Notamacropus eugenii: one gene and its partners. The protein of the gene in region 1 interacts with the protein of each later gene in a biochemical or structural test. Links are inferred from orthologs where the notes say so. Each region holds a gene or a part of one and is shown on either strand. Other genes may lie near its edges. The genes, in order: SNTB1, TANC1, ASNSD1 and MAPK12.

Evidence for each region.
Region 2: the proteins of SNTB1 (region 1) and TANC1 interact in a test that uses a peptide from one of them, tested with the Homo sapiens proteins (2 studies listed by IntAct, with this or other methods). The link is inferred for Notamacropus eugenii from reciprocal best matches to the Homo sapiens genes SNTB1 and TANC1.
Region 3: the proteins of SNTB1 (region 1) and ASNSD1 interact in a test that uses a peptide from one of them, tested with the Homo sapiens proteins (2 studies listed by IntAct, with this or other methods). The link is inferred for Notamacropus eugenii from reciprocal best matches to the Homo sapiens genes SNTB1 and ASNSD1.
Region 4: the proteins of SNTB1 (region 1) and MAPK12 interact in a test that uses a peptide from one of them, tested with the Homo sapiens proteins (2 studies listed by IntAct, with this or other methods). The link is inferred for Notamacropus eugenii from reciprocal best matches to the Homo sapiens genes SNTB1 and MAPK12.

The regions. Positions count from the first base shown.
Region 1 is NC_092875.1:124,293,401-124,301,009, forward strand, and holds the start of SNTB1 (beta-1-syntrophin), read left to right. Parts: upstream 1-4,592; 5' UTR 4,593-4,833; coding exon 4,834-5,473; intron 5,474-7,609. UniProt on the Homo sapiens protein: Adapter protein that binds to and probably organizes the subcellular localization of a variety of membrane proteins. May link various receptors to the actin cytoskeleton and the dystrophin glycoprotein complex.
Region 2 is NC_092876.1:217,990,582-217,998,274, reverse strand, and holds the start of TANC1 (protein TANC1), read right to left. Parts: upstream 3,001-7,693; 5' UTR 2,859-3,000; intron 1-2,858. UniProt on the Homo sapiens protein: May be a scaffold component in the postsynaptic density.
Region 3 is NC_092876.1:256,830,198-256,837,759, reverse strand, and holds the start of ASNSD1 (asparagine synthetase domain-containing protein 1), read right to left. Parts: upstream 3,006-7,562; 5' UTR 1-3,005.
Region 4 is NC_092874.1:304,233,992-304,241,486, reverse strand, and holds the start of MAPK12 (mitogen-activated protein kinase 12), read right to left. Parts: upstream 3,005-7,495; 5' UTR 2,897-3,004; coding exon 2,772-2,896; intron 2,364-2,771; coding exon 2,234-2,363; intron 1-2,233. UniProt on the Homo sapiens protein: Serine/threonine kinase which acts as an essential component of the MAP kinase signal transduction pathway.

The DNA of each region.
Region 1 (7,609 bases):
TGGTAGGGCTAGGTCATCTTCCCTAGCATTTCTTTTCATTAGTTCTCTTGATATTCTGGACCTTTTGATGAATTTTGATATTATTTTTTCTAGCTCTAAAAAGCTCTGGTATTTTGGTATGTCACTGAATAAGTAAATTAATTTAGGTAGGATTGTCATCTTTATTATATTAGCTTGGCCTACCCATGAGCAACTGTTGTTTTTCCACTTACTTGGATCTGATTTTATTTGTGTGAAAAGTGTTTTGTAACTGTGTTCATATAGTCCTTGGGTTTGTTTTGGCAAGTAGACTCTCAGATATTTTATAGTGTCTACAGTAACTTTAAATGGGATTTCTCTTTCTATCTCTTCCTATTGGGCTTTGTTAGTAATATGTTAGTAATGCAGATGATTTATGTGGGTTTATTTAATACAAAGTAATTTCATTCTATGAAATAATAGGGAGAGAGACTGGATTTGTTATTTTATTATATGTTGTTGTTCATCCTTCATTTTTTAAGAGGACAAATGACACCGCTGAGTAATATCTGTGTGTGTATGTGAATTAGATTTCAGTGAGGCAGGTTTTCCCAAAGTCATCAGCCTCACTCTCTCTTCCAGAGACATAGAAGTCCAATGACGACACAAAAGTCAGAATGACTGGTGATGGCCCAGGATGCAATGGATGGATGACCTTGGCATCTTTGATATCTGACCAAGCTCTAAGTGTTCCATGGATCCTACTTCAATTGGGCCATACTGTTTTCATCTACCCATTCTGCTGGAGGAAGTCTTCACAGTCTTGGGATAGACATCCCTTTAATTTAATATAAGAAACTTATAGATGAGGAAACTCCCTTTACCAAAACAGATCAGCACCTTCTCTTTAACATAAAGCACTACAAAGGTGAGGAAGGGAGGGAAGTGAGAGGGTAAATGATTTTCCAGGATCACAGAGCCAGTATGATTAAATGAAAAAGATAGTTTGCATGATTCCCATGCACAAGATCAATGAACCTTGGTCTTTCTGGCTCAAGGCTGGCTCTCTACTTATTAGGCCACATTTCTCACAATATTTTATAGATACTGAATAGAAACTAATTTCAACAGATGAGAGATAGCCTGGAGTGACTAGGGAACTAGCCTTCTTTCTGTCTTTAATGGATACTAGCTATGTGACCCTAAGGAAATCACTTAACCTATCAGTGTTCCAGACAAAGTTCTAAGGCAAAAAGTCAGGTTGTCAAATACAAATTTCCACTGGAAGACAAAGCTTCCTTACCAGGGAGCTTCCCATAAGGATGAAATCACACATCTGGACTAAAAAAATGAAGAGTTCCCCTAAAAGATAGAGTACTAATGGGGAAAAGGAAAGGAAAAATATTGTGGAGGAGATTTCAAATTTAGCCTTTGGGGATCAACTTTTCCTGTAACGTGGAAAAGAGGGTTGCATTTAGAGTCAGAGAACCTGGCTCCAGACCTCAGCTCATTCGCTGTGTGTGATTCTCTGAACTTAGATTCTTCTGTAAAATAAAGGGGCTAGTCTCTATGAACTGCAAAGATCTTTTCCACCTAGCAATCTATGTTCTAGCATTTTCTGACCTTGACCAACAAATCTGAACTTCTGAATGCCTTTGACAATTTTCTAAAATTTTAAGTTACAGCTGAGTCGAGGATCTTTATGGGTAGAAGAAACTTTCTACACTGATGAAATCTCCTGTCCAAAGCACCTCCACCCCCACCACCAGCCTCCCAAAAGTCATCAGACTTGAAGAAATCTGTTGTACTAAGAGGATGGGAGTTATGACTGAAGACAAAAGAGGTCAGTAATTTGAGAACATGGAGAATTTTGAGGGGAAGCGTAGATGAGGCACTGAAAGGCTACTGCAGTGGGGGATTGGGGACAGTATGAGGATAGGCATTAGCAGCATGAAGAAGCATGAGGAGTGAGGAGAATGCCAAAGAGAATCTTCACCTATTTCAAATGTTTGCCTAGGACTATCCTGGTGGCCATTAAAGGACAGAAAATGCTCTTCTTTTTCCTATTCCTCCCTCCATACTGCATGGTCTCCTGGTCTCAGAACCCAGATTTTAGAATAGCGCCATTAATACTATTGTTGTTATCCATTATGCTATTAAAGCTTAAAGCTGCATTGAGACTTTTGAGAAACCCAGTATGAAGCTCATCTATATAACAGATTAATAATAATAGAGCTTATATTTCTGTAGGGTTGTTGTGAATAAAGCATTTTAGAAATCAGAAAGACCTATATAGGGGAAGCTAGGATGTGCAGTGGATAGAGCACCAGGCCTGAAGTCAGGAAGACCTGAGTTCAAATCCAGCCTCAGACCCTTACCAGCTGTGTGGCCCTGGAAAAGTAACTTATCCCTGTTTGCCTCAGTTTTCTCATCTGCAAAACAGGCTGGAAATGGTAAACCACTCCATTATCTTTGTCAAGAAAATCTTAAGTGGAGTCACAAGGAGTCAGACATGACTGAATAACAACAACTACAAAGCACTGTACAAATGTGTTAGAGAGGCAGGATGGCAGGCCTTGTAGCAAATAATCCCAGGATTCAACTCCTGTGCCTGACACATTGGTTATGGGACACTGGGCAAGGTGCCTCACCTTTCAATGCTCTAAAGCAACACTTCTCAAATTTTTTGCTCTCAAAATCCCTTTATACTTTGAAAAAATGATTGAGGACCCTAAAGAATTTTTATCAACGTAAATATCTATTGATATCTACCTTATCTGCGATTAAAATATAAATTTTAAAAATATTTAACTCATTTAAAACAAGGACAAACCCACTACATGTTAACATAGATAATATTTTATGAAAAATAAGTATATTTTTCAAAACAAAAAATATTGAGTAAAAATGGCATTTTTTATAGATTTTTGCAAATCTCTTTAAAGTCTGGTTCAACTGAAGATGGTTAGATTCTCTAACCTGTTCTGCATTCAATCTGCTGTCATGTTTTTCCTTAAGACAATCAGGCCTCACACAGTCAAATAGTCAGGAAAAGGAAAGAGCATTTTAATAGGCAAAAAATGAATTAGTATTATCGTGAAATTAATTTTGCCCTCATAGACCTCCTGCAAGGACCTCAGGGACACTTGGGGGAGGGGGTGTCCATAAACACTTTCAGAACCACTACTCTGGGGAAGGTAATGGTGCTAGGTGCTACACACTGTGCTAAGTATTTTACAAACATTACTTCATGTGATACTGACAGCAACCCTGAGAGTTACAGTTTATTACAGTTCTGATTACCTCAGTTTCACCAGTGAGGAAACTGAGAGAAGCTGGCTACCCATGGTCCTTTATGTCAGTGGTAGGGTTGAAAAATGGAAAATGGAAATCCAGGTCTCCTATATGACTGAAATGACTCAATAACAAAACCTGATGCTGAGGGGAGCACTCTTTCCACCACAACATTGCTGCCTCTGTAATAAAAATAAAAGTAATAAATAATCTCAGTAAGATCTAAGGTTTATGCAGAATCACTTTTAAGGTTTGAAAAGTGCTATTGTGGCCTAGACTGGCAATGTACCAGTCTTTTGTAGCATTTTTCTCTATGAGAAAACATGTTCCCAATTCCAACCACTTCAAAAAACAAATCCTCCATACACTGGAGCCTGATACGCCCTAGAGAGAGAAGAAATAGGAAGGAAGTAAAGTTTGGAATGGGATTAGGGAGAAAGGACTCATAAAGCATACAAAATAAAAGAACAAAATCGGATTGAAGTCAAGGCAGGTGACTTCTCTGAGCAAACAGGGAGACAGCACAGTAATTCATGATAGCAGACGTTGGACTAAATCCATTTCCATTCCTTGGACATGACACAAGGCAAGTCCTCTGAACACGGAGAGCTTTGAGGAATTGGGTTACTATGGGGACTTCGGGTTGACCCTAAAGTCTGGATACTCAGGGTCTCCTTTTCTCCGGTTTTTTTTTTTTTCCTGAGGGTGCAAGCTACCTTCTCACTTAGCCCCGGAGTCCCCTTGTCTTTGACTTTCAAAAAAAATTCGTTAAGACGAGAAACCAACCAGAGCTCAGCAGAGAAAGGAAGGATTAGGTTTGGGCAAAGTAGTAAGAGATGGCCCTAGGTTTATTTCAGAAGGGGGATATTAGAAGGGTACGTGGCAAGCTTAGGCCACGAGAGAGGATAGCAGATGTGGCCCAACAAGGCTAGCTGGAGAGAAAAACAGCTGAGAAGACAGGAGCTGAGAGTAAAAAGTCTGTGAAGAGGAAGGGAGCCAAGGCAGAGAGGGGGCTCTTGGCACCGATTTGGGAGCGGTCGTCAGCTCAGGTCTCTGCTACGCTTAGTTGGGGAAGGAGGGGTGTAGGTGGGGTGGTGCAGCATTGGTTTGCCTTTGCTGCGGCGGCAGCGGCGGGAACTGGAACAGGTGAGCTGCGGGTGCCAGGTCCCTTCCCTGCCCTTCTCCCAGTGCCCTTTCCAGAGAAACCCTGCCCAGCTCTTTGCAGTTCGGCAGCTCCCCTCGGATTGGGGTTTTGCAATTGGCGGCAGGGTGCTTCTCCCCCCCCCCCCCCCCCCCCTCCTTCTTTTAGGTTGCTCCACCCCGCCCCGGATCCGGCGAGGGGGGAAAGCAGCAGAAGCGATTAGCTGGCGCTAGCCAACTCGTGCTTGCGGAGTGTGTCTCTGAACTCCGGGAGTGAAGTCCCGCGGCGGCGGCAGCGGCAGGCGCTGCCCCTCGGGTCTCGGGCTTCTCGCTCCCGCAGGACCCCTTGGCCTGCCCCTACCCCCTTCCCTCCAGCACACCCACCCTTCCCCACTTTTTTTTCCTTTTGCAATCACATGGTATTTTAAGAATGCTGGAAAGATGGCGGTAGCAGCAGCAGCAGCTTCGGCAGCGCCGGCTGGAGGAGGCGGAGGCCGGGGACAGCGGAGCGGGCTGCTGGAAGTTTTGGTGCGGGACCGCTGGTACAAAGTTCTGGTGAACTTGAACGAGGACTCCCTGATCCTGAGCAGCGAGGAAGGGGCCGGAGCTTACAACGGCATCGGGAGCGGCGGAACCACCAATGGCTCTTTCGGCCGGAGCAGTGGCGGCGGCGCCAGTGGCCACGGCCCCGGGGGTCTCGGGGGCGGCGGGGGCGCTGAGAGCGGGAACCAGTCCCTGAACACCTCTGTGCCGGCGGTCGGGGGCAGCCCCCAAGTGGGAGTACGCACTGCCTTCACTGACCTGCCTGACCAAGTGCCCGAGTCCATTGCCAACCAGAAGCGGGGCGTGAAGGTGCTGAAACAGGAGCTCGGGGGGCTGGGCATCAGCATCAAGGGGGGCAAAGAGAACAAGATGCCCATCCTCATCAGCAAGATTTTCAAGGGACTGGCAGCTGATCAGACCCAGGCCCTGTACGTGGGGGACGCGATCCTGTCTGTGAATGGAGCCGACCTAAGGGACGCCACCCACGACGAGGCAGTTCAGGCGCTCAAGCGAGCGGGTAAAGAGGTTCTGTTGGAAGGTAAGGGGTTAATGCCTCCTGAGACTCGCTGCGCATACAGACACAGGCATACACACAGACACATGGACACACACACACGCCAGGTGGTAAAACACACGCACTCGCTGGGGGCCGCGCCGTCTTGACAACTTTTGTGTCCTACCAGCCTCACCTCCCCATTCCATGAAGTCTGCCAGCGGCAGCGGAGAGATGACAAGCCCGGGTCACTTCAACTAGCTTTCCCGACCTGGCCTTGTAAACACTACCCTTGGGCTGGTACTACAGTAAAGGTCGGGGTCTGGCTGGGATGTGAGGGTGTGGGAGGAGTATGGTTGGAAAAGTGGAAGGAAGAGAATAATCCCAACCTCTCACATGAGAATTCCTACTCTGGCGCTTTGGGTCTAGGGATTGACTGGGCGAATTGGGAGAGACAGGGACAGACCAGGAATGTAGAATCGAGCGCATTTAGGGTTAGGGTTAGGGTTAGGATCGAAGGTCCCCGATCCCCCTCCCCCACCCCCACCCCCCCTTGCAGTTGGTGTTGGGCAAAGTCTAAGACCTTTCACTGGCTGCACGTGTGACCTGTAGAGACTGGTGATGTCAGAGACAGAGACAGAGAGAGACAGAGAAACACTTGTCAGCTAGCTTAGGCAAGGCGAGAGTTTTGCTAAGAAAATGTGGCAGTTTCGTGCAGGAGTTCGCCACTCCTTCTGCAGGGCGTCTGTCGGTCCAGTCCGGCTGGATTCTTGATTGCGCTGCGTGGAGAGCTGTGAGGTCGTTTTCTGCCCACATTTTTTTTTTCTAGGCTTTCTTACTGTAGTCATATGGTCTGGGGCTTCAATCTGCACTAGTTTTTTATCCGTGCCTGAGGTGCCTTAGAAACTACTTCGTGAGCCGATTAACCTGAACACCTCTACACCCCTCACTAGGGCTGCGTCTGAAATACCCTAGGAATTACTGTTCATTACAGGTTTGGAGATATCCAATGTTGTGAATGCGGGGGAACAGTTGCAGACCAGACAATTAATTCTTCATGCCAACTGCGCGCACATTATCCCTCCATTCTATGGAACAAAACATTCCATCTGAGACCCCGTAAAAAGCCATTTGTTGTAAGCCTGGGAGCACGGAATCTGGGTGGAGGAAGACCAGTCTGGCCAGACTCCCTGATGGCCTTGTGGTGGTGCTGCTGTCTCTCGGTGTGGAGCTGTGAGAGGAAGAGAAGCCGCGGTCGAGCCCAGCGCTGCGGGGAAATAAACTTTGCAACTTGTGACAGGTGATGCAACTCCCTGGAATATGATAGCCCACCTGATGGCCCAGAAGAAATGAATTAAAGCGACGCGGAGTTGGGTGTGGAGGTGTTTCTGTACTCTGCCGACGTACTGCTTTGTGCCTCCTGCTTCTACCGCCCTCCGCAGCTAACTCGGCACTAGTCAATTTGCTTTGGCTTGGTGATTACCATAAGTAAACAGTCAAGTTTTTCTTTGCCAAGGTGTGTTGGGGTAGGTGGGTGGGTAATAAGACCTGGTCCCAGCCAATTATAATTATGTGTGTATCTATATAATATACACATATACACAAACATACAGATACCATCCAACCCTATGTCTTTCTGGAGCCCAGTAAAATACTGAATAGAGGCTAGTAGGATCATTGACTTCAGGCTGTTACTTTAGGAACTAGCCCCATCACCTCTTCTCATTCAGTTTTCTTTTTTTTCTTTACACCCTTTTCTCTTTTTTTCACACTCCTTGGGGTCTTCCGGTTTTCTGACCAGCAATTCAGATAGTCATCTAAACAGATGCTTTGTGATGTAGCAGGCAGCACAATCTGAGTTCCAGTCTAGCCTCGGGCTCTGGCTGGTTATACGACCCCAGACTAGTCTTTCAGTGACCCTAGGAACTTCTTTCCTAGACTTAAATTGCAGAACACTAACTCAGTTACATTGATTGCAAGCATTTCCTCACTGGAGAGCTTTCTGCCCTGATGAAATTATTGGTCTGGACGAAAAAAATTATCTAGTAAAGAAGAAAACAAATTACCCTGGGGTTGAGGTCAGTGGGGTGGTCTTGGAAAGGATAATATCAAAGAAACATATGATGAGGGAAAGTGGGAACATGCCAGATAGAGAATGAGCTCACCTGGCTGTTGGGGGAG
Region 2 (7,693 bases), on another chromosome or scaffold:
TTTCATTTACTGCACAGGGCCAGAGAGAGGTGAATTGACTTTCCTTCAAGGTCACACAACTGGTTCTGGTCATATGTGCCTTTTGGTACCTTTTTTAATTAGAAAAAGGACAGGGAAGGAGCTGCTTTTTACTAGTTTTACAGGTAGGAAAAAAAAAAGCTGGAAACCAAACCAGCATAATTCACCGAAACAAACAAACAAAAAGCCTTGGGCTAGATTTTGCTTTCACAAATTTACCCCTTTAACTTCTCAATTAAACTGAACTTTGGGCAGGTTTAAAAAAAAAGCTACTCTCTAAGACCTTCAAAGTCCATTTGTAACCCAGACAAAACCTTAACAATTGAATTAGAAATGTATAATGGAAACATTGACATAATGTTAACCTCCAGCTATGCTAGCAGGCATAATTATACTATGGATTACAGTTCTCTCTTTACAGGGATGCTGGTTTTAGTGCTTCCCTGGGGGATGAAGTATTAATCAGGAACACTTTATTCAGAAGATGACGTGGCACAAAAATGAACAATTTAATCAAGATTACTTCACTGTCCTTAAAATTATGCCCTCCGATCACCACTATCACAAAGCTGTAATGGCACCAAATAAATGAGTGTGGTTAGACCAACAAAACGTTCCTTCCCTACAGGCTTTTATGGGAAGCTGAGCAAGGCTGGCTATGAAAAAAGCTATGTTTGTGCTGTACAACGGACAGAAATAATAATTTGTCCATTCTAGGGTTTAACCAAACCAGAGAAAGCAGGAAATCTACCACTTCCAACTACTAGCAAAATTAAGTTTGTTGCACCACATCTGCAAGGCCAGGTCACTTAAAGAGAACCTTAAATTTATTTCTGGACTTTCCTGACTTCACTACAAGTCAATGACACTATTTCCCATCCTTTATTGTCAAATCACAGTAGTCAGGAAGTTCTGGAATAGGATCACTTGGCAGGTGAGTAACTGGACCAACACTGGGCGGAAACACTGAAGGATGTCAGATACCATATTTACTTCCTTTACTTGAGAATACTTTTAATTTTAAAACCACCAGGATATACTTACAAAAGCACTCTGGCTGACACCCACCAAGCATTATGGCTCACACAGAAACTTTGCACAGAAATCAACACACTCGATGTAATCTCTTTGCAAGGCTCATGAGTAAAACATTCAAAATACTATAATGAACACCTCTCAGCCACTCATAAATTCTTTCGTTCCCAGCAATCAAAAAAGGCAGCTGTTAAAGGCCAAAAAATCTCCTGCCTTTTCCAGTAGCTGGGCTGACACTACTCTGCCAGATGGGGAAGCCTTTACTTACTCCTGAATCTGTAACTAGTCTTAGGCACCCCTCCCCCTTGCGTTACAGTGCCACCCTGGCAAACATAAGGATGATAGAGGAAAAGCAAAGACAAGACACAAACATCCCTTTTTCCTAGGGCACCCTTCTTCCCCACTAGCCCACCGAAAGAGAAAACCAATACACAAGCCTTATTTAGTGACAAGAGCCAGTTCCTAAATCCTTTCTTCAAAGGTTTTGAATTAGGCACCTCCTTCCAGCAGGGGCGTCTGGGGGATATCCTGAGCAAAACTCATTCAACTGCTGTGTCCTCCAGTTTGCAAGTAAAGGGGATGGGGCGTTCTATGTCAGTCAAGTTCAGGATTAAAGCGGACTAACTAACTGCCCAAGGACCTATTTTCTGCTCTCAAAGTTAAATTTGGAGTTTGCAGATAATCTCCAAAGCCATCATTCCAGGTACAGCCATTCATGCTCCTAAGTATAAACAAAGGTGAGAGTGGATGACTACGGTTAGGTTCACGGCGGGTTCTCGCCACCCCCAGTGGCTCCTCTACTTGGCTATCAATCACCACATTTCCGGGCAGAAGCCTAGCACCATAAAACAAGCAAACTTTTAAAGACAGTTAAAGAGACTTTTCTTGATCTACAGAGAGCACCCAACGCTTGGGGTTTCCTTTCCAGACTGGAATTGTGGAGTGCCCCACCCCTGGGAAACTGTGCCCCTGCCTAGACCCCGAGGTCAATACCCTTCATCTCCCCAAGAGATGATTTACACTGACTTTAAATTAAGAGAGTGAAGGAGTAGACGCACTCTTGACACAATTCTTTTCCTTTATCCAAGACAAACCATCCTTATGCTACACAGTACAAAAGAAAAAAGGGAGGGGGGAAGAGAGGAGTTGAGAGATGTTATATTGTTTCTTTAAAAGTTGGAGACTTTCTACGGGGAATGTCGCTTACATCACCATCCATCTCCCTCCAACACTTGCCCCTCCAGCTTGGAGACCCCGGTCACTCTCATTGCCAACGCCCCTGCGCGCCGTCCTTCCCCCAATCTAGCGGTGCCAGGTACCCCTTACCTCCCACCACTTTCCCCCGCCCCAGGTACCAGGCGCAGCCCAGGCCCTGGCCAAGCTTGGGGGCAACAGAACTGGGAGGAGGAAAAAGGACCCAGAGCACGGGACGGGGAAGTGCCTGAGGAGGGACCCCAAACTTCCACAGCGCCAGGGCCATTCCCACCAGCCCAGCAGCTGGCCTAGCGCGGCCGGGCCGGGCCGGGGCGGGGCAGGGCAGGAAGAGCAAGGAAAAGGGCGGACTTGCTGCTCAGACCCGAGGCCCCGCGGAGCACCCAACATGTCCGAGCGTATTCCCTGGCGGCTGGAAACGGGGGTGCATAGGGAAAGGGGGGGTGCGGCGAGAGAAACTTTCCCACGCCCATCCTTCCTTTCACCCTGCACGCAGCGCGTGCTGCCACCCGCACCCCGGGAATTTAACAAACATCCTCCCGAGAAGTCAGCCCCGTCTTGTTCCCCATGCGCCCGGGACTGCGCCAAGTTACCTGCCGCCGGGAAAGTTTCCAGCTCCTTCGGGGCGCTCGCTCCCCCAGGCGCACGGCTCAGCGGTCCCGGCGTGCGCGCCCAGCCCCGCAGCGCCCAGCGCAGCGCAGCCCAGCCCAGCCCCGCAGCGCCCCGGCCGCCCCCCGCCGCCTCTGCCCCGCTGCCGCTGGGGCTGCTGCCACTGCTCCTCCTCCTCCTCCTCCAGCCGCTCCCGGGGCTGCTACTGCCAGGCGGCTGCTCCGAGCCGGGTCTCCCCGCCTAGCAAGGCCAACACCGGGGCCTCATTGGCAGCGCTAATCCCCGCCCTTGCGCGTTTTCCCGAAGGCACCTTCCTCCATCCCCTCCTCCCGCCCCGCTCCCCCGGCCTCCTTCTCCCCTCCTCCTCCTCTCCCCCCCCCCCCCCCCCCCCCCTCGCTCGGAGTCTATTTGCAGAAGGGACCGGCTGGGGCGCTGCGGGAGCAGCGCTAAATGGACGCTGCGCGCGGTGCCCTTCCTACCCCGCCGCGGACTCCGAGTCCGGGCTTCAGCGAAGGAGACTGTCCCTAAAGGTCCGAGCTTTCCCTACGAAGGGGAGTGAGGATGCACTAGGCGAGGGGTGATCTGGCCTTCTTTCCTCCTCCTTCAGATCAATAAAGGGATCCGGCTGTCTCCTCTCCCCCACCACCCATCACCCCCAGCCCGGGTCTGGCTGCCCTTTGGAAATCACCGAGGAAAACATGTGGGAGCAATTAGACGAGCAGAAGTTTGGAGTTGTTGTTGGGGGCGGGGGGGGGGGGGGGGTGTGGAGGTGTTAATTATTTATTTATATATTTTTGGCACTCGCCTGCTTGTTTCCTCCGCTTAGTTCTTAGTTCTCCCTTTCCCTTTGGAAGGGCTGTGGCTGGGGGTGGCTTCGCTGAGGCGGTGCGAGGGTCCGGTGGGCAAGATCCCCTCCCTGCTGTTCAGCCTCGACAAACAAAGCGGAGCGCGCAGATAACGAGGTGGCCGCCAGCTCAGACCCGGGCTGCCCCGCTGCTTTGCGTGGCTCCTGCAGTTCGGGCTCCCCCTCCCCCTCCCCCCCCCCCCCCCCCGCCAAGTGTTTCTATGTCAAATGCAATCGTTGTCTATTAACACTGTAGGAATTTGAAGTTTTTAAAACATTATCATTTTGGATTGTAACTGCAAATCAAAAAACTGGCGACCCAAAATATGTTCACCTGTAAAGAAGAAGTGGGACAGGATTTAGAGATAGCTGCCCTGAGTTCGAATGCCAGCTCTACACGTAGTTGTCTTCGACAATCCACTTAACTTCTCACCTGTGGAACAAGGAGTTTGCATTGGATGACCTCTGTGTTCCCCCATTCCTTTTCTAAATCCATTTCCCCTAGACTTCAGTGAATAAGGAGCAGACTCCTTAGTCCGGAAGACCTGGGTTTAACTCCTGCCCCTAATCTATACGGGCTTGGTGACCCTGATCAAATCTCTTCACTTCTCACTCTGTGATTAAACATTGCAAGAAAGATGCTGATCTGCATTGGTAGATGGACTTTCCACGCTGGGAGTTCCCCACACTAATAAAATAACAGGTCTGGGCCTCCAAAAAAAAAGGGGGTGGGGCGGAGAGATTCCTGCAAAGCCTGAGTGAAAACTATGCCTATTTATCTCGAGCTTGTGAAAGCACTGGATACCTTAGATCCAACACTCCGTTTTTAAGACAGTAACACCTACCCCGTGCTCTCATTCTAGGACGAGGTGTAGTCTACCTTGTCCAAATGCTTCATATGGCCCTGACCTACGCACCCTTAATCAATTGTGCCTGTCGTATTTTCAGAAGGAATTTTGCATGGTTTGCTTCATCAGTGGGATTGGGGAACATATGTACAGAAGTTGCTATAAACTGGTTTACAGGCAACCCATAACCTAGTCTGTGAGACATTCTCTTTTCAGGACAACCGTATTTTAAACGAGTTCCCCATAAAATTTGGCTCCTCACACAGTACTTCTCAGAATGAAGATAAAGCAATAAGCATCTCCATGTTTCTAGACTCCAGTAAAAAGATGCACTAAGTGACAGGGAACTCTGTCAGTATAACAGGACTACTGAAATTTGTTGAATTTTCCCTTGTAGTTTCAAACTTAGTTATTCTGAACCTAATGTTTGAGCTATAAACTCATCCAAACAAAAAAGAAATGCTGCTAAAGGCACCCTTTGTCCTACTTCAGAAGTCACATTACAGATACCCACAGTGTAATTCATTCTAATTTACACTAAGAAGGAAGGAGATCTTGTGAATGTTATTTTAAGATATTTTAAATGCACGAAAGTTATCAAATTACCATTAACAGGAGTGAGTAGACAGAGCACCAAAGGGAAAGCAGGAGGATGCAAAACAAAAGAGACCCTCCTACCTGATTCTAATAAATGTGTAATATTAAGAGGTAAAAGAAGCAGTACTAGTAAGAAAGTCAAGGCAACAGACTGGCTGGCTCATCTCCCACTACAAATTAACGTATAGCAGGTCAAATTTATTCTTTGCATTACTTTTTTTTACTTCCTATTTTCTCCAAATTCTGTCTTCCAATATATGCAATAAAAATTATGTTTAATCATGCTTTGGAGGGGCAGATAGGTGGCCCAGTGGATTGAGTGCCCCAGCCTGGAGTCAGGAAAACATTGAGTTCAAAGTCAACCTCTGACACTTAATTACTAGCTGAGTGACTCTGGGCAAGTCACTTAACCCTGTTTGCCTCAATTTCCTCAGATGTGTAAAGTGGAGAAGGAAACAGCAAATCATTCTAGTGTCTCTGCCCAGAAAACCCCAAATGGAGCCCCAAGGAGGGGGACATAATTGAACAAAAATTTTGATTTAAGGTTGAATTTAATGAAGTTTCCCTATAATTAGAAACTAACAGATATCTATAGATTTATCAGTTACCATTAATTCCTTTAAGTTCTTTCTTTAGTGACTTGATTTTTTTTAAAGTGGCTTTAGAGCACTGATATAAAGTAACATTTTCAGTGGTGTTTAATATTTTAAGCAGTCACATGGCTAGCAATCTGAAATTTGTACACAGAGGGGCCCTGTCTCTCCTTCTTCCTACAATGTTTATGTAATTCAAAATACACATGTTATACTATACAATTTAATCTCCAACTTTAAACAGCTAATGTTACATATAGCTACATCACAGAAAGAACATCAAAACAACTGTATTTGAGGTAGGAAGAACATATAGTTTAAACAGAAAAGAATGATGAAAACCACAATATAAAGTAATTATTTAAAAACTTGCTGGTTAAAAATTTTCCCACAAAAATCAATGTTTTAAAGAAAACATTGGAACATTTTTGAGCTTTCCATATGAATAAGTGAATGAATATATGAAATGAGAAACAGGAAGACCTCATTTCAGATCCTACTTCTGAAACAAGTGGTATAACAATAAGTAAATCACTTAAACTTGATGAGCCTAGGCATCTCTCTCAAGTTGTCTACTAAGGGTTAGAAGTTGATTGTGGTCTGCTTAATACTTAGTATTACCACAGGAACAAAATAAGCTTCTAAAATACTAAATAAGTCCAGTTTCAAGTAATTTAAATAACCTCTCCATAAAAAAAAAAATCTTTTATTCCCATTCTTTTGATTTTGTGTTACTGAAGGGACCAGATATTGTTGTGGGTAGGGTGAGTATGCTTTCTTCTGTTATCACCATCTCTTGCACTTTAAAAGGTTTTATAATTGGCTTTACATTATATATGGAAAGAGAAAACGATATTTGTTTTGGAGTGAGAAGACCTGAGTTCAAATAATGCCTTTGTAATTTGTGTGTGTGTGTTCATCCTTTGTTGCCTAAGAAGACCATGCCATCAGAGAAATAAAGACATGACTTGCACTTGACTTTGTTTTGAGTGAGGGAGGGCTGTGCAGGTCACCAGCCTCACTTCTCCTCCAGAACCATCTGAATCCAGTGACCAAATATTCACCAGGATGACTGGAGATGACCCAGGATGAGGCAATTGGAGTTAAGTGATTTGCCCAAGGTCACACAGTTAGTGAGTGTCAAGTGTCTGAGGTGAGATTTGAACTCAGGTCCTCCTGACTCCTGCTCTGGTGCTCTATCCACTGCACCACCTAGCTGCCCCCGACCCCTGTAATTTATAACTTGTTTGACCCAGGACAAAGTCCATTCCTTGGGCCTTAGTTTCTGCCACTGTAAAATGAGGGAGTTGAACTAGACCTTGGGTCCAGAACAGCTCTAGATCTAAGAAGTATGAACCCCATCTGGAAAAGAGTGCGATGTTTTGGTTGGGAATCTTAATATTTGTCATGTGTGCCATATTTATATATTGTACTTAAAAACACAATGAGATTACAATAATTTTTCTGCCCTCCAATTTGCAAACTTTCCAAAGCTTGGGGAAATAAAAACAACAAATATTAAACTGGTAGGTCATTTTACCATACAGCTTATTGCCTAGAGCAGGAAACCATGCATTGAAAGGAAATATATGCTTCCCTAGGCCCAGAGTCTTTGATTTTGTTTAAAAAATCAGTTAGGATCAGTGCCAGTGTTTATAGCCTATGTAATACACACAGTGAAAGAAGAAATACTTTGAATTCTGTAGTCCTTAAAAATTGAAAAAAGACAGTAGTGACAGAGTAAAGGCACTTCAAGGCGTATTAGAAAGGGTTTTGCGGAGAAGGGCCTGTCTGGACTTTAGAAAGACAAAGTAAATGGAATTCAGAAAGACTTGGACAACATAAAGAAATAAGAATCACATCACTAACAGTCTTGACATGTGTAATGGCATTTGGTCATATATATAGGTACTAACTCATGGTTAGATGTAGTCTAA
Region 3 (7,562 bases), on another chromosome or scaffold:
AACCAGTTTTGCACGCTCCGGCTAGTCGTCGGAGTGGCTCGTGGGTCCAGTTTCTCTGCGCGTGCGCAGCCGCTAACTTCCCCCTCGTCTCTGCGCATGCGCAGCCGCGTAAGCCGGCCCCGAGTTCTCGAAAGCGCTGGCCTGTAAGCTAAGAGTGCTGCTCTTGTCTCCTTGTCGGTGCTTCTCTTCCCTCGCCGCGTCCCTCCCCTTCCCCCCCTCCGCCCCAGCCTTTTGCTTATAGTACGTTGCTGTCCCCTGTAGAAAAAATCGAGACTTTTAAAATTTATGCTTATTTGGAATTAACAAGCGTTTATTAAAAACTTTCCGCGTGTCCAGCACTGTCCAGTAGGCCCTCAGGTTGTCGCCCTCTTTGCACCTGGAGGTTCCTTTGCCTAGGGATTTCGCAGGCTTGGAGACTCAGATACGCTAGGTAATGGGAAGTTCAGTACCGAAGAGCTGCCTGGAGCGCTGGAAAGTTCGGCGATTTGTCCCAGATCGCGCAGCCGCCAGGTGTCTGTGGGGACGCCTTCTCTGTCCATTACCGCACGCTGCCTCTAAATCCACTGTTTATTGTGAGAACTAGTTTTTAATTAAATTTGGGTTTTTCAAATTAGCAGACATTTATTTTTTCTCCCCCCTCCCCCAATGAAAAAGAAATATCCTCCATAAAATGCGTATTTCTCTTTGCATGTCTGCTCTGTTGTGGATGGTTACTGCTTTGATCGGAATCCTCAGGTCTTTCTGATGACGCACACTTGTGTAACTCTTCAGTTTATACAGATCTTCCCAGTTTTCTCCGAAACCCTCCATTTCCCAGTTTCTTACGGTACGACAATATTCCGCTGTATTTACGTACCGCAGCTAATCCCAGCCCCGCTAAGGTTCTAATGTTTTGCTGCTACACCAAGAGCTCTTTAGATATTTTTTGTCCCTATGAGTCCTTTTGCTCTCTGACCCCTTTGGGGTCTGGATCCCCTGGTGGTATCACCCTGGATCCAAGTGTAAGCCCAGCTGAGTCGCCGTGGAGCTTAGTTTCGCATTTTTAGAATAGCTCCAGTGAATTAGTCTCATTTTTGTCATTTTACCTAATCTGATGATTGGCGCACTTTTACAGACTTCCATCTCAACTAATTGCTAGCAGAGCTCTCACTGGGACACCTTCATCATTGGTGAACTGATCCAGCCGCTTTGGAGAGCATTTGGAATTATGCTTAAAGAGTTATTGAACTATCTATATCTCTTGATCCGACACTACCAAAGGTGATTAGGGGAGAAGGAAAAGAACCTTTATGTTCGAAACTGTTTATAGCAGCTCTCTTTGTGATGGCAAAGAACTGGAAATTGCAGGGATGCCCATCCATTGGAGAATGGCTGAACAAGTTGTGTACAGGATTGTGATGGAATATACTGTGTTATCAGAGAGGATATGCTCCATGATCTTAGAAAACCATGGAAAGACGTATATGAAATAATGAAGAGTGAAATGGGCAGAACCAAGCGAACACTGTACACAGTAACAGCAGCAGCAGTATTATTTTAAGAACAACTATGAGTAAATAAGTTGTTTTGACTATTCTAAATAACCATATTAACCATAAAAGGTGTGTGAAGAAGGATGCTATCCAGAGGAAGAACGGATAAATAGAAGTATGTATGGAATAATATGTATGTGTAAATTTATATGATAATTTTGTATATTTGAAAGGAATAGCAAATTGTGCATGGTAGATCTGCAGTTCATGTATGATCATCTCTTTTATTATTATGTGTTATGGAAGTGTTTATTTTATTCCATAAATATATATTAATGTAACAAAAAGAAGAAAAAAAAGAAATACCACAGAAGTTCAAACTGTGTTAAAAAGAAAACAAACCTAAATCTCTTTGGAGTATATCCTGTTCTGTATGCTTGCAATGGTTTGCTGGATGGTGAAGTGGATAGAGTGCTGGGCCTGGATTCAGGATGACTTTAGTTCAGATATGGCCTCAGACATTTATTAGCTGTGTGACCCTTTGCAAGTCACTTAACTTTGTTTGACTCAATTTCCTCATCTGTAAAATGAGCTAGAGAAGGAAATGGCAAACCATTCTAATATTTTTGCCAAAGCAAAACAAAACAAAAAGCCCAAATGGGGTCACAAAGAGTTGGACTGAAATGACTGAACAATAACAACATATGCTTGCCAATGAGAAAATGGTGCCAGCCTGCTAGATTAGCACCTCTAAGAATGGTTATTTACTCAGGTTGCTAAGTAGGGACTTGACGTAGGAAATATGCCCTGGTCTCTGTCATCCACTGAAATCTTTGGTCAAATGTCTACCTATACATACTCAATCATGAATTCACAAGTCATTTTCACCCCTAATCTCCCTTTTCCTTACAGTAATAAGACACTTTTTTCTGCTTTGCTCTCTTTTTTAACTTCTACCCATCAAATGAAAAGAAGCCCAGCTGGTTGCCTCTTAAAATCAAGGCTGGTGCCACTAAGAGTATTCTGCTATAAAATAGTTTTGATTGAATATCATACTTGAAGAATGACCAAAAAGTAATGAGAATAATTACTTTATTGTACCATACAAATCATTCTCAACTTTTTTTTAAATAGTCACTTCTAGTTTTATAAAATTGAGAATAACATCATCTAGCTTAGTGACCCACCTCATTCACCAGATTTGACTCTAAATAATTTCAGAATACTTTTGAAAAATCAAATCCATAGATATAATTCCCTAGTTCTCTATCAGTATGGTAGAGTGGCTAGAGTACTGGGCTTGGATTTAGGAAAATCTAGAACTGAAAACTACCTATGATAACTTACTAGATATATGATAATGAATGAGGGAGTTGCTTAACTCTTAACCTGTTTTTCTTTATCTGTAAAATGAAGATAATACTATTTATAGTATGTACCTCACTGGGTTGTTGTGAAGTTCAAACCTGGTAATGGAAAAAAATTGCTTTGGGAGCTTTAAAGCACTCCATTAATCCTAAATGTTAGTTATCCCCAGCATCTAATCCGCTACCTTGTTCAGAGTGGGCACATAGTGCATTTCTGTTGAATGACTGAATGCATGTAGGCATGGTGTGATGAGGGCCTAGATTAATAATTAGTTAAGTAGTGATAATAACTGACATCACTCTCAGGTTTTGGTCAGGAAGTTCTGGCACTCACTTCGGACCATGTAGTGATACCAGTGTTACCATGTTAGGTCTTCCATTACTCTGAATTAAAAAGACCTTAATTTTGGAGAAGCAGCTTGTGTGTTACCTTTGTTAAATTTCCTTCATTTTTCCTTCTTTGCCTTTGATAGATTCCTGTAGTTTTTAAACTCAGACTGGCAACCAGCTCACCATTTGTCTCAGCCTAATTGAATTGTGGTGCTCTGTCTCTCTGCATAACAACCTTATAGACCTAAATTTACCCTCTTTTACAGTGATGGAGGCCAGTCTTTTCCCCACATCCTTGCTGACCCTCCTCCTCCTCCCTCCCTTGCTTTTCAGCTCTCTTTTGTGTCATCTTCCCTCATTAGAAAGTAAGATCCTTGAGGGCAGGGACTCTTTCTTTTTACTTATAATTGTATCCAAGTATTTGGGATTCCAAGTGTGCATTTGTATCCCAAGTGCTTAGTGTAGCGCACATGCTAAATATTTAATAAATGCTCATTTCCTTCCTCTCTCCCTCCCTTTTCTCCCACCGTTGCTTTTCCCCTTCTTCTCCTTCCATTCCTTCTTCCCTTCCTTCCCCTGTTTCCCGTCCTTTCCCATCCTGGAGACTGATTATAGCAGCAATGGTAGGTTACCTGCTGTTTTGCTTTTTTCCCAGCAGGGGGCTGCAGAGACCATGGACCTGTTATAGCGGTTAACCCAGACTTTGCATCTAAACAGAACAAAACAAAAAACCCTAAAGAGAGAATTTGAGGGACTGAAAGTTGAGAATTCCTGACTGAATCAGTGGCCTGGACCCAAGATGGCACTTAAAGTTCCCCATATTTATTTATTTGTTTGTTTGCTTTTTGCAGTGTAGGGACAGCATCCCTGACCTTAGTGAAGCTGTTTATGGAGCTCCACTCCCAGATGTTTAAGGCAGCCTAACTCCAGGGTTAGGCTCCTCCAATGGATGATGTGGAGAGAATTCTTGGGAAGACCTCTTTGGGGGGGGTTTACAACCCCCCCCAAAAAGCCTGATCTGGCTAACTAGAGAAATCTGCAGATACCAAAAAGGAAAAAGGGTCACAGAACCAGTTTCCTCTGTTCCCTGAGTCAGAGCTTGGTAAGGGTTTTAGCAGATCAGTTTCTGGAAGGTTTCATCTTCGCCATTTAGCAGAAACAACCCTATACAAGGTATACTGACTTGCCTCTTCTTATCCCAGAAACATATCCCAGAAGAATGGGGAGCTGAGACTTTAGCATTACTACCATCATGAGGGGCCATTGCTATCCAAGTCCAGGAGATAACAGGTCGTCTACTACCCTTGATACCCAAACTGATGGACCAGTTGGCAGCCACATTTATGAAATTGGACCTTTGGTTATCATACAATCTCATCCAGATGCAATTAACAGAAGATGACTTTTTAGATTTATTATTACCTACATGAATAATATGTTGTACTGTTTAGGTTGTACAGTGACCCACAATTTTTCAACAGTATTGTAAGACCTGCTGAATAGTACATAGGAAGGAGAGTTTATCTTGATTTTATTTTCATCTCATTCTAGGACTCCATCTAGCATACTGCACTGCTCTGAGTCATTCTTCAGCTCTTATATTAGTGTAATATTTTGTGATTTGGAAAAATACCAATTTGAGAAAGACTCCAGCAGAATAAATTTTAACTCAGAGGGCCTGTGTTTAAAACCTGACTCTGACACATATGATCTTGGGCAAAATGACTTAACTTCTCTGGGCCTCAATTTCCTCATCTATAAAATTATAAGACCAGACTAGGTGATCTTTTTGGTCCCCTAGAGCTTGAAATCTGTAATAATATGAGTTCCTGAGACTAATACTATCCCAAATAGTAAGTCAGTATTCACCTTCACAAGGCTGAGGCCATATTGTAGTAGAAAGATTCCTGCCTTACAAAAAAAAAAAATCTGTAGTGGTTTCCCAGCCTTTCAGAGTATTCCTGATATTTTATCCTTAGGTTCTCTTCCCTGATAACAATCTTCAGCCACCTGATGAAACACCCATCTTTCTACCAAACTCCCAAGACAGAGGACATTTAACATGGGTTCTCCTCAAATCCCTATCCTTTCCTTTTGGATCGCTTTAATTCTTAGTAAATTTTTCTTTATGTCAAGCCTAAACCCATCACTTTGCAACTGTATTCATTGCTCCTAATGTCTTCCCCTCAGGGCAAGCAGAACAAGTCTAACTCCTTTTTTCACAGGATTGACCTTCAAATATTTGTAGACAGCTATTATGACCTTTTTAAATCTCCCTTTCTTCAGGCTAAACATCCCTAATTTATATGCTATGGTCTTCAGTCCTCACTATTCCTGCTTACCTCATTAAGACATGTTCCTATTTATGTCTTTCTGAAAATTTTGTTTCCAGAATTGGCCAGTGTACTCTAGATCTAGTCTGATCAGGGCAGTTTACTATATCACTTCCCTTTTTCTATATAGTATGCTTCTTTTAGTGCAGAGGAAAGCATTAATTTTCTTTTGGATTGTCATGTCATACTGTTGACTCATATTGACCTTATAGTCAGGTAAAATCTCTAGTTCTTCCTACAAGAATTATTGGTCAACCACTCCTTACATTATATATGAAGATTTTTTAAAACTCAGATTTAAAATTTTCTCTGATTTATTTGATTTGCCCAATTTTCCTAAGTTCTTGAGATCTTTTTGGTTCTCTACTGCTATTTAACATTTAGATATCCTTTCCAGTTTTGTATCATTACCAAATTTGGCAAATGTGCCTTTTATGACTTCTTCAATGCCGTTGAGAAAAAGGACAAATTCCAGGGGCATTCTCTTTGATAGCTCCTTCTAAACCAGAATAAACTCATTAATGTAGCTACTTTTTGGATTAATCATACAAATCACCTATCTAACAGAAACTTCATCTAGCCCATGTTGTTCTATCTTGTCCATATTACTAGGATGAGGTACTTTAAGTGTGACACTAATGCTTATGTAAACTATATCTAAAATATTCCCCTTGTCTGCAAGTAATCCTTTCAAAAAAGGAAACAAGATTCATATGGTATGATCTATTCTTTTAAAAATATTATTGTGAACTTGAAAAAATCAAGAAACAAGATCATTTCTATATACAAAGAACAGAAGAGAATTGTGTATGAAATAATAATAGCTAGTATTTATATACCACCTGAGTTAGATACTGTGTTAATGGCTTTACAAATATCTCATTTGATCCTCATTTTAATCCTGGGGATAGGTGCTATTATTGTCTTCATTTTGCAGTTGAGGAAACTGAGGTAAACAGAGGTTAAGTGTCTCGCTTAGAGTCACATGTTTAGTAAGTGTCTGTGCCTGGATTTGAACTCAGGATTTCCTGACTTCAGGCCCAGTATTCCATCCACTGTGTCACCTCTCTGGCTATGTGAATCTCTCTTATGTACAGTATTTTTTCCCCCTAAATGTATGATAAATATATAACCATGATTCCAATACTGTCCTGATTATCTGTTTCCCTTTTTGAACTCTCTTCTGTTCTCTTTTTTATATTTAATAAATGTTTCATTGATGTTCTTTTTTTCCTACTCTTATCAATACTCCATCTATTCCCTTTATTTTTACCCCTCTCCCAAATAAAAGATCCTCTCATAAAAAATAAGTATAATCAAAAATAACAGATTCACACATTATCCATTTATAAGGATGAATGCCTTCTTCCATACCTTTAGCTCATCATCTCTGTCAAGAATTGAGAAATATGATTTCTCTATCACCAGTCTTCTGGAGTTGTGGTTGTTCATTACATTGATCAGAGTTCTCTTAAATCTTTCAAAGTTGTTTTATTTTTACAATATAGGCCTTATATAAATTATTTTCATGATTCTGCTTACTCCAATCTTTATCAATTCATATAAATCTTCCCAGGGTTCACTCAATGTTTGTTATTTTTTAGGGAACAATAATGTTTAATTGCATCTACACGCCATAATTTGACTAGATATTCATTCTCTTATTGGTGGGGATCTTCTTTGTTTTCAGTTCTTTGGTATGACAAAAAGTGCTCTATAATTTTTTTATACACGTATGTCCTTTTCTTCTTTCTTATATCTCTTTGGCAGCTTTGCATCACAGTGGTATCATTGGGCCAAAAGAATACAGAGTTTTAGTGCCTTTTTGGGAAACAATTCCAAATTGTTTTCCAGAATGATTGCACCAATTCATAGCTCAAACAACAGCTCCTTAGTCTTATTGTTCTCCAGTAATACCTACAATAGTCATCATTTTCTTTTGTTGCCATATTTTCTAATCTGTTAGTTGTGGGATAGAATTTGACTTGTTTCAGTTTGAATACTTCTTAGTTTTTTGGAGTATGTTTTTGTATTATGTTTTCAGTCCTTTTCAGAACTAT
Region 4 (7,495 bases), on another chromosome or scaffold:
AGAGCATCCCTCTATCCAGCTACAGCCAGATTTCCCCTCCAGAGGGCGATGAGGGTATGGCATCCAAAGCCAAATTTACCAGCCTCCTGCCTCCAGAAAAGTGGGCATAGGGGAGTTGAGTGTGGGAGGGGAGACAGAAGGAGAGCAGGCTTCAAATGTGTCCTTGCCCTGCACAGGTATTACCTGCCTGTCCCCTACAGATGGAACCTCAGAAGGGGGAAGCATGGAATGTTACCACTCCCCATGGAGTCATCCTTCCAGGTGACTTTTCCACTCCATTCCTTCCTCACTCCCCTCCCCCAAGTCTAGGCTCCATCATCTGTGGTTTCCCTAGACCAATGGAACAGTATCACTGCTGGTTCCTCTGCTTCCAGTCTCTTCTCCCTCCCATCCATCCTTCACATGCTACCAAACCAATCTAACTGGACCCTGCTCTGACCACCCTGCTCCCCTGCCCAGCAAGCTCTCTGGAGATGAGGTGTGCTCAGTTCCTTAACCTGACTTAGCCTGCCTTTCCAAGCTTGACTCACATGTTCTCTGGAAGGTAATGTGGTTGTGTCTAGGGTTCTGGGTTCAAATGGGACCTCTTGGAGCCAGAATTTCCCCCTTTGAACAATGGAGATGACACTGATTCCTAGCTCACTGAGTGGTTGTGAGGTTCAAATGACAAGAGCCACAACTAGTATGTTTATGGCAAGCTACGGTTTGCAGAGAGTGTTACCCCATTTGGGCAGCGCCACTTTGTGAAGCAGATTCTAGCATTCTTCTCAGCTAGGTGCTGAGATGTCTTGAGGCTGGAATCAGGAGGACCCGAGTTCCAATTTGGCAGCAGATTCTTACTAGCTGAGTGACTCAGGGCAGGTCATTTAACCTCTGTCTGCCTCAGTTTCCTCAACTGTAACATGGGGATAATAATAGCATTTGCCTCCCAGTGCTATTAGGAGGATTAAATGGGATAATATTTGTAAAGTGCCTGGCACATAGTAGGTGATTACTAAACACTTGCTCCCTTCCCCTGTATTCTACAGATGAGGAAGCTGCATCTGAGGTAGGTTAATATGTGTGGAAAGTACTTTGTAAATGTTATAACACCTTAGAAACATAGTTATTCTTGCACCTTCCAGACACACTCCATGTTCTCCTGCCTCTCATCACAACATTTCACTGGCCTTGAATGTCCCTCTTCCTTCTTTCCAACTCATGTTTAAAGCCAAACTCGGAGGCCATTTCGTCCAGGAAGCCTTCCCCGATGTCCTCAGACCAGCCAGGAGCTGTCCCATCAGGCCACATGGACTGCTCAGAAGTCTGCCTTTATCACATATAATGTCTATTAGGCATTAGATAGCTTCGGGGTCTTTTCTAAAGGTTCTCTTCTCCTCCTGCACAGCAAGCTCATGCTGCAGATTCCTAATCAATATTTCATGCTTTTAAAGGCACAAACCTGGGCATGTGCCCTTGGGGAGTTCACCTGGTGGCAAGGGCAGGGGAGGAACATCCTGGGAGCTTGGGCATGTCTCAGGGGAGGTCCCAGTATAGTAAAAGAAGAAGACACTGGGATATCACAATATTCTGGGATAAACTCATTAGCCAAGTGGTAGGGTGGGCTGCGAGTCTAGTTAACTGGTTAGTCCCAGGGCACTGGGGACCATGGGGCATTCAGGCTCCCCAGGTCTCAGGGGTGAGTTTGCCCATTGGCCCATAGCATGAGGACCCTCATTGGCCAGCAGAGCTGGGACCCTGAAGCACAGTATGGGCTGGGGAGGCCAGATTTAAAGGCCTGGGAGTATGTGGGGGAGGGTCAGGGCAGTTGAGGAACAGACTCTAGGTCTTTGCTCTCCCCCTCCACCCACCCTTACCTGTACCTCAGAGAGCACCTGCCCAGAGCTCCCATCCTGCTGATTCTGTTCAGATCCTCAAAGATCACTGGAGGCTAAATTACAAGGAAAAGTCACCCCTTCACCTCCCCAGATAATGTGTTCTCTCGATTTGGTCAGGGACTTCTCCCAGAAAAGTCGTGGGAGTCCTATGGTGCCGCCAAAATGGGCGGGGTGTGGGGGATTGCCTACTCCATCTCATCTCTCCTGTGAGCCTTTATGTTTGGCGGGAGCAGGTCAGCCCACAGGCTGGCTGTGGCAGCCAGCAGCCAGTACAGCGTGCTGAGGGCCCCCTACCCCTGGGAAGCTGGCGACCAGCCCGATGGGCAGGAGAGCAGGTAGTCGCAGGGCTCACTCACGTTCTCGTGCCGCATGTGTTTGAGCAGCCGCAGCTCCCGGTATGCGCGCTTGGCGAACAGCTCGGACTGGAAGGGACGGTACAGCTTCTTGATGGCTACCTTGGTATCAGTCCTGCTGTCAATGGCCGAGCTGGAGACCGGACACCCGAGCACTCAAGTATCCCGGCTGGTAAGCCGTCCCGGGTTCTCCCTCCCGCCCCCAGGAAGTCTAGAAAGCCCGGAGTTGGGAAGAGGAGGTTCCCTCCTTTCCTTCCACACACGTGCATTCAGCCACCCCTCCCCGGGGGAAACGCTCCCCCAGGGCCCAGGCGGGGCTGAGCTCCCCGGCCCCCTCAGCCTCCAGGCCCATGGTCAGGGGCTAGGGCTGGGTCCCAGGAGGGAAATAAAATGTGACCTTTGGGAGCAGTCAACTGCTGTTTTTGTTCATGGATAATCTCATGGTGAGATCCCATCCGGACACCCCCTGCCCAGTCACTCAGCCCCGTTCGTATTCTCCCTGCCAACTCAGCGCAACACCCTGTCCGTGGCCCCCACTCACCACACGGCCCCGTAAGCCCCCGAGCCCACTGGCTGCAGGTCCCGGTAGAGGTCCCGCACCTCCCACGCAGTCTTAGTCACCTCCTGCCGGTAAAAGCCCTTCCGGGGGGGCGGAGGAGAGCTCATGGCGACTGGAGCGGGGTGCCGCGGAGGTCACTGACCCCCTGTGCTCACACGCACTCACACTCGCTTTCGGACACACGCGCGCGCATGCACAGACACACATACACAAACACTACACTCCCACAAAGGCTAACCCGCCAGGGTATTTCCCCCCACCCCAGAGGGGCGAGAGGCTGCGGCTGCCTGCCGTAGCCACGCCCTGGGCCCTCGAGAGTGAAGGGGGCCACCCCCCCCACTCTGTGCCGGGCTCTCTTCTCTTCCCCTTACGCCCTCTTTCCTCAGTCTCTCTCCCTCTCTCGTCCTTTTTCTTTTTCTGCTTTCTTTTTGGACTCGTACTCTGGTACTTTCTCTTTCTCTCTGTCTCTCAGCCTCTGGTGCTTTCTTTCTCTGTCTCTGTCTCAGATCTCTGTCTCTGTCTCAGATCTCTGTCTCTCTGTCTCTGTGCGTTACTCTCTCCTTCCCTCTCTGGTCTCTGTATCTCTCTCTCTCTCTCTCTCTCTCTCCCCCTTCCCCCCCTCCCCTTTCCTAGTCTCCGACTCTTTGTCTCTCTTTTCCCCTCCGACCAGGGGTTGTCTAAACCTCTGTCTCTGTTGACCCTCAGGCAGTGCGGCCCCACGTGACCCCGGCCCTTCCTCCTCTTCCCCTGGGAAGCAGCCCCAACTACCTGATGGGGGGAGGTGGCAACAGGGAGGCGCCACTCTCAATTCCATTCCCTCCCCTCCCCTCTCCTTCCTTCCCCTCCCACTTCCTTTCCCTTCCCCTCTCTCCTTTTTCCCTTTCCTTCCCTTTCCAGCCCTGCCCAAGCCTCCCCTCCTCTTGCTCAGACGTCAGCTCCCAAGGGGAGTAGGGTGGGGGTGGGGAGGAAGCAGGGCCCAAGTCTCTGGAGCTTTGTTTGACAACGTCCTCTTGCACGTTAAGAATTACAAAGTGCTTCCCTCACTGGAAACTCGTGAAATCGTTATCTCCATTATATTAAGTAGGGAAACTGAGGTTGGTTGGGGGCGAAAGATGACCTTACTGGAGCTCCTCCATTTAGAACTGGTCTCTTGCGTAGGAGAAAAGAGCTTTGCTCCCCCAGAAAGTTGGGGCAGCCCCTGGGGCTTGGAACTGTCTGTGAAATCTAAGGCTGCCTACAACCTGCAACTGATCAGCCTGAGTCTGTCTGTCAACGCCACCGCTCCAGTTCCCCTCATGGTTGCTGGGGGACTCTGTCTTTGACGTTGCTTGTTTGGTATCTGTGGGTCCCCCCACTTCTCCTACCTAGCAGACAGCTCCGGCTTGGTCTCGGGAGCTCCTCTTCCTCCCTCCTCCCTCCCCTCCCCCGTGTTCATCTTGGGGGGGGGGGGGGCGCGAAGGCTCGGATCTTTGAACCGGTTTCTCCTCTCCGCTGATCGTTTTGCTGCCATGGGTCCGATTTTCATTTCTGTGCAGATGTCTTTTCAGGCTCTGATCTCTGCTGCTAATATTCCCTGAGTTCCAGCCTTGTTTTGCCAGCTACCTGCTCTGCCCTCTGTCATTTCCAACAGATGAGTCACACTCCCCAGGTCCCCCAGGTCTTGTCAATCATGTCCTTTGCATCTCAACACCCTATCTACACCTTTCTAAAATATGTAGGGGTCTGTTCCTGGCCAGTGGTCCAAGCTAACATCCATCTCTCTCTAGCCAGGCTGGACCAGCTAGAGAGAGCTGGTTGTTCATTTTCATTGTTAACATTTACTACTCAGAACTCAGCAAGTACTACAGTTCAGAACTTGATTTATTGTTCTATTGATTGTCTATGCTTAAGAAAGTGATAGACAAAATGGTAATAATGTAGGTTAAACTTAAAAGTGGGTCAGGTTTTTTTTCCCTTAAAGCTGATTGTTAACCATTCATGAGCACACCCCTGCCAGTGGTCCCCCTAGTCCACTGACAGTTCTAAGAAAAGAGGGACCCCCCTGTATCTGAATTTCGTACCTTGCCCCAAGTTGATGACAGGCATCTTTACAAAAGTCCACAGAATCTTAGAGCTGAAAGGGAGGCCCTATGTGCCTATAAAAGAATGCCCTCTACACCATGCACCAAAGGTGATCATCCACCTTCCATTTGGAGCTCCCAGGTGATGGGCATCTCCCTCCCTCCTCATACAGCACATGCCACTTTGGTGAGGCAATCCTTTTTGCTAGAAAGGTTTGTCTTAATTCTAGGTAAAATCTTCCGCAATACAACTTCTGTCCACTGTTCCTGGTCCTGCCTTCAGGGGCCAAGCAGAACAAAGCCCTTTATATGCTTAAATACATAGATGTTAGCCCCTTGATCAACCATAGGGTAAATGTGTTGAGTTCAGAGGGACATCCAAGTGGAGCTGTCCAGCAGGCAGCAGTTGGTGATGTGAGTGTGTGTGGGAGAGAGGGAGAGAGGGAGAGGGAGAGAGGGAGAGAGAGAGGGAGAGGGAGAGGGAGGGGAGAGAGAGGGGAGAGAGGGGAGAGGAGAGGAGAGGAGAGGAGAGGAGAGGAGAGGAGAGGAGAGGAGAGGAGAGGAGAGGAGAGGAGAAGGAGGGAAAGAGGGAGGGAAGGAGGGAGAAAGAGATTGAAACTCATTAAGGGCTCTATGCATAATCCATACAAATCTATAGATTTGGGGATCATCTGCATAGAGAAGAAAAATAAATCTATGAAACCTGAAATTACCAATGAAGAGTGAAAAGAAGAAAAGCAGAGCTGGTTCAGAGCCTTGGGACATTCTCACATTTTACAGCTTGTAGGAAGGCAACAATTGGGTGATGACAATTAAGAATGAAGCGTCAGATAGGCTTGTGTTTGTCATGAAATAAAGGAATAAACTAATCAATTGATTAATTTAGCTTAATTAATTTAATCCATCTAAGCCTCTCCCCAAACTTGCAACTCTCTTATTTCTGTGGAGGCTATCTCCAAGTCACCGAGGTTTAGAATCTGAGTCATCCACTAGCCTGGCAAAAAGCAGAGGAGAGATATTTCAGCTGCCTTTAAGTATCTAGAGACAAATCCTAAGTATTAGATGGAGGAGGAATTAGCCTGGTTCAGCTTGACCTCAAAGGGCAGAATAAGGAGCAGGGGGTGGAAGTTTCAGGGTGGTCCAAAGGTGGGATGGGCCAAGGCTGCCCTCCTTGGAGATCTTCAGTCTGAGTTTGGCTTAGGACTTGTTGCTGCTCTGTCATTTTGTGAGTCTTCTCTCTTCTTCAGCCCCCAGTCCAATTCCAAAGTCTTTTCACTCAAGCCTAGCCACAAGCCTAGTAGCCCCTTCCCTCATCTCTCACCCAGACTGTCCCTTTTTCCAATTTTTGCTTTCTCCAATCCTTCTCCCACAAACTGTAAAAATCCGCTTGCTTGGACACAATTCTGACCATGTTACCCTTCTCCTAAAAAAACATTAGCATGTGGATGCCCCCACCCCCAATGGGGGGCATCATAGGGCTAGGGTCCCAAGTCCCTCAGCCCTACAAGTTTCTAGAGACTTCCCTGCCCTAGTCCTTCCCTCTTCTGTTAGCTGATTTACAGATTATCTGGGGAGGCCCTGGGCAGACCGTTTGTCTCCAGCAGTGTTTGGGGACCCATGAACTTGGGCAACCAGAGGATTGAGGAAGGGAGCTGACTGGAGGAGCTGGAATGACTGTGCCAGAACAGGGCCAGAGGGGTGGTGTTCTCTATTGGTTTCAGGACACTGCTGTGTCAGCCTGACATTCAAGGCTCTCTGCACACAATCTGGCTTCTTTGAACGTTCCTTTGGCTGCTGGGTCTGGCTCTTGGTCATGCTATGGAGCGGATTTGGTTTGTCTCCAGAGCATGTCCACCATCAACCCTTACCTCTCTGTTAGATCCAAGCCTTCAAAATTCAGGTACCAACCTTCCATCCTTCAATCTCTCTGAGGGACTGGAGCCCAGGCTCCTTCTGTCATGATGGGATTTCCTGCCCAGAGACCCTCATTCCAACCCCCTTGTGCAGGGGAGGACAGCAGGGCCCAGAGAAGGAAGGGAGTTTTGTCAAGGACATGGTGAATAGGTGAGACAGCATCAGTGAGAAGCCAGACTTCTCTCCTCTTCTGAAGGCTGGCTTCTTCTTGGACTGAGCTCACCACCTCTCCAGGTCTGGGAAGCTGAGTCATGACCTCAAGGAGGATGCTGGGTGCTCCCAAGGCCACTCAGGGCACCCCTAGACAGCTCACATCCTTAGGAAACTTTTACTTGAGTTTTTAATTCATCCACCAATCAATCAATGAGCATTTATTGAACACCTACCATGTGCCAGGCACTAAGGGTACAAAGAGAAAGGGTACCTACCTACCGTCATGGAGATTATCCTCCATGGGAGGAACCACCAGGTGCACATATAATACAAAATATACACAAAGTCTCTATGTTTGATTGGAAATACAAATTTCACAAAAACAGTATTGATACTGGAGGTCTGGCCTTCCATGGAGCTGTCTCCAACTCTCCACAGTGACTCCTCCCTGCTCTGCCCTCAGGGTTAGGCAGAACACACTAATCCTTGTACTTGATACCCCTCTAAGACTTGAAAACAAGCTACAGTATCATGTCCCTTCTCCAGATTAACCATAACTAGTCCCTTCAACTGATGGTC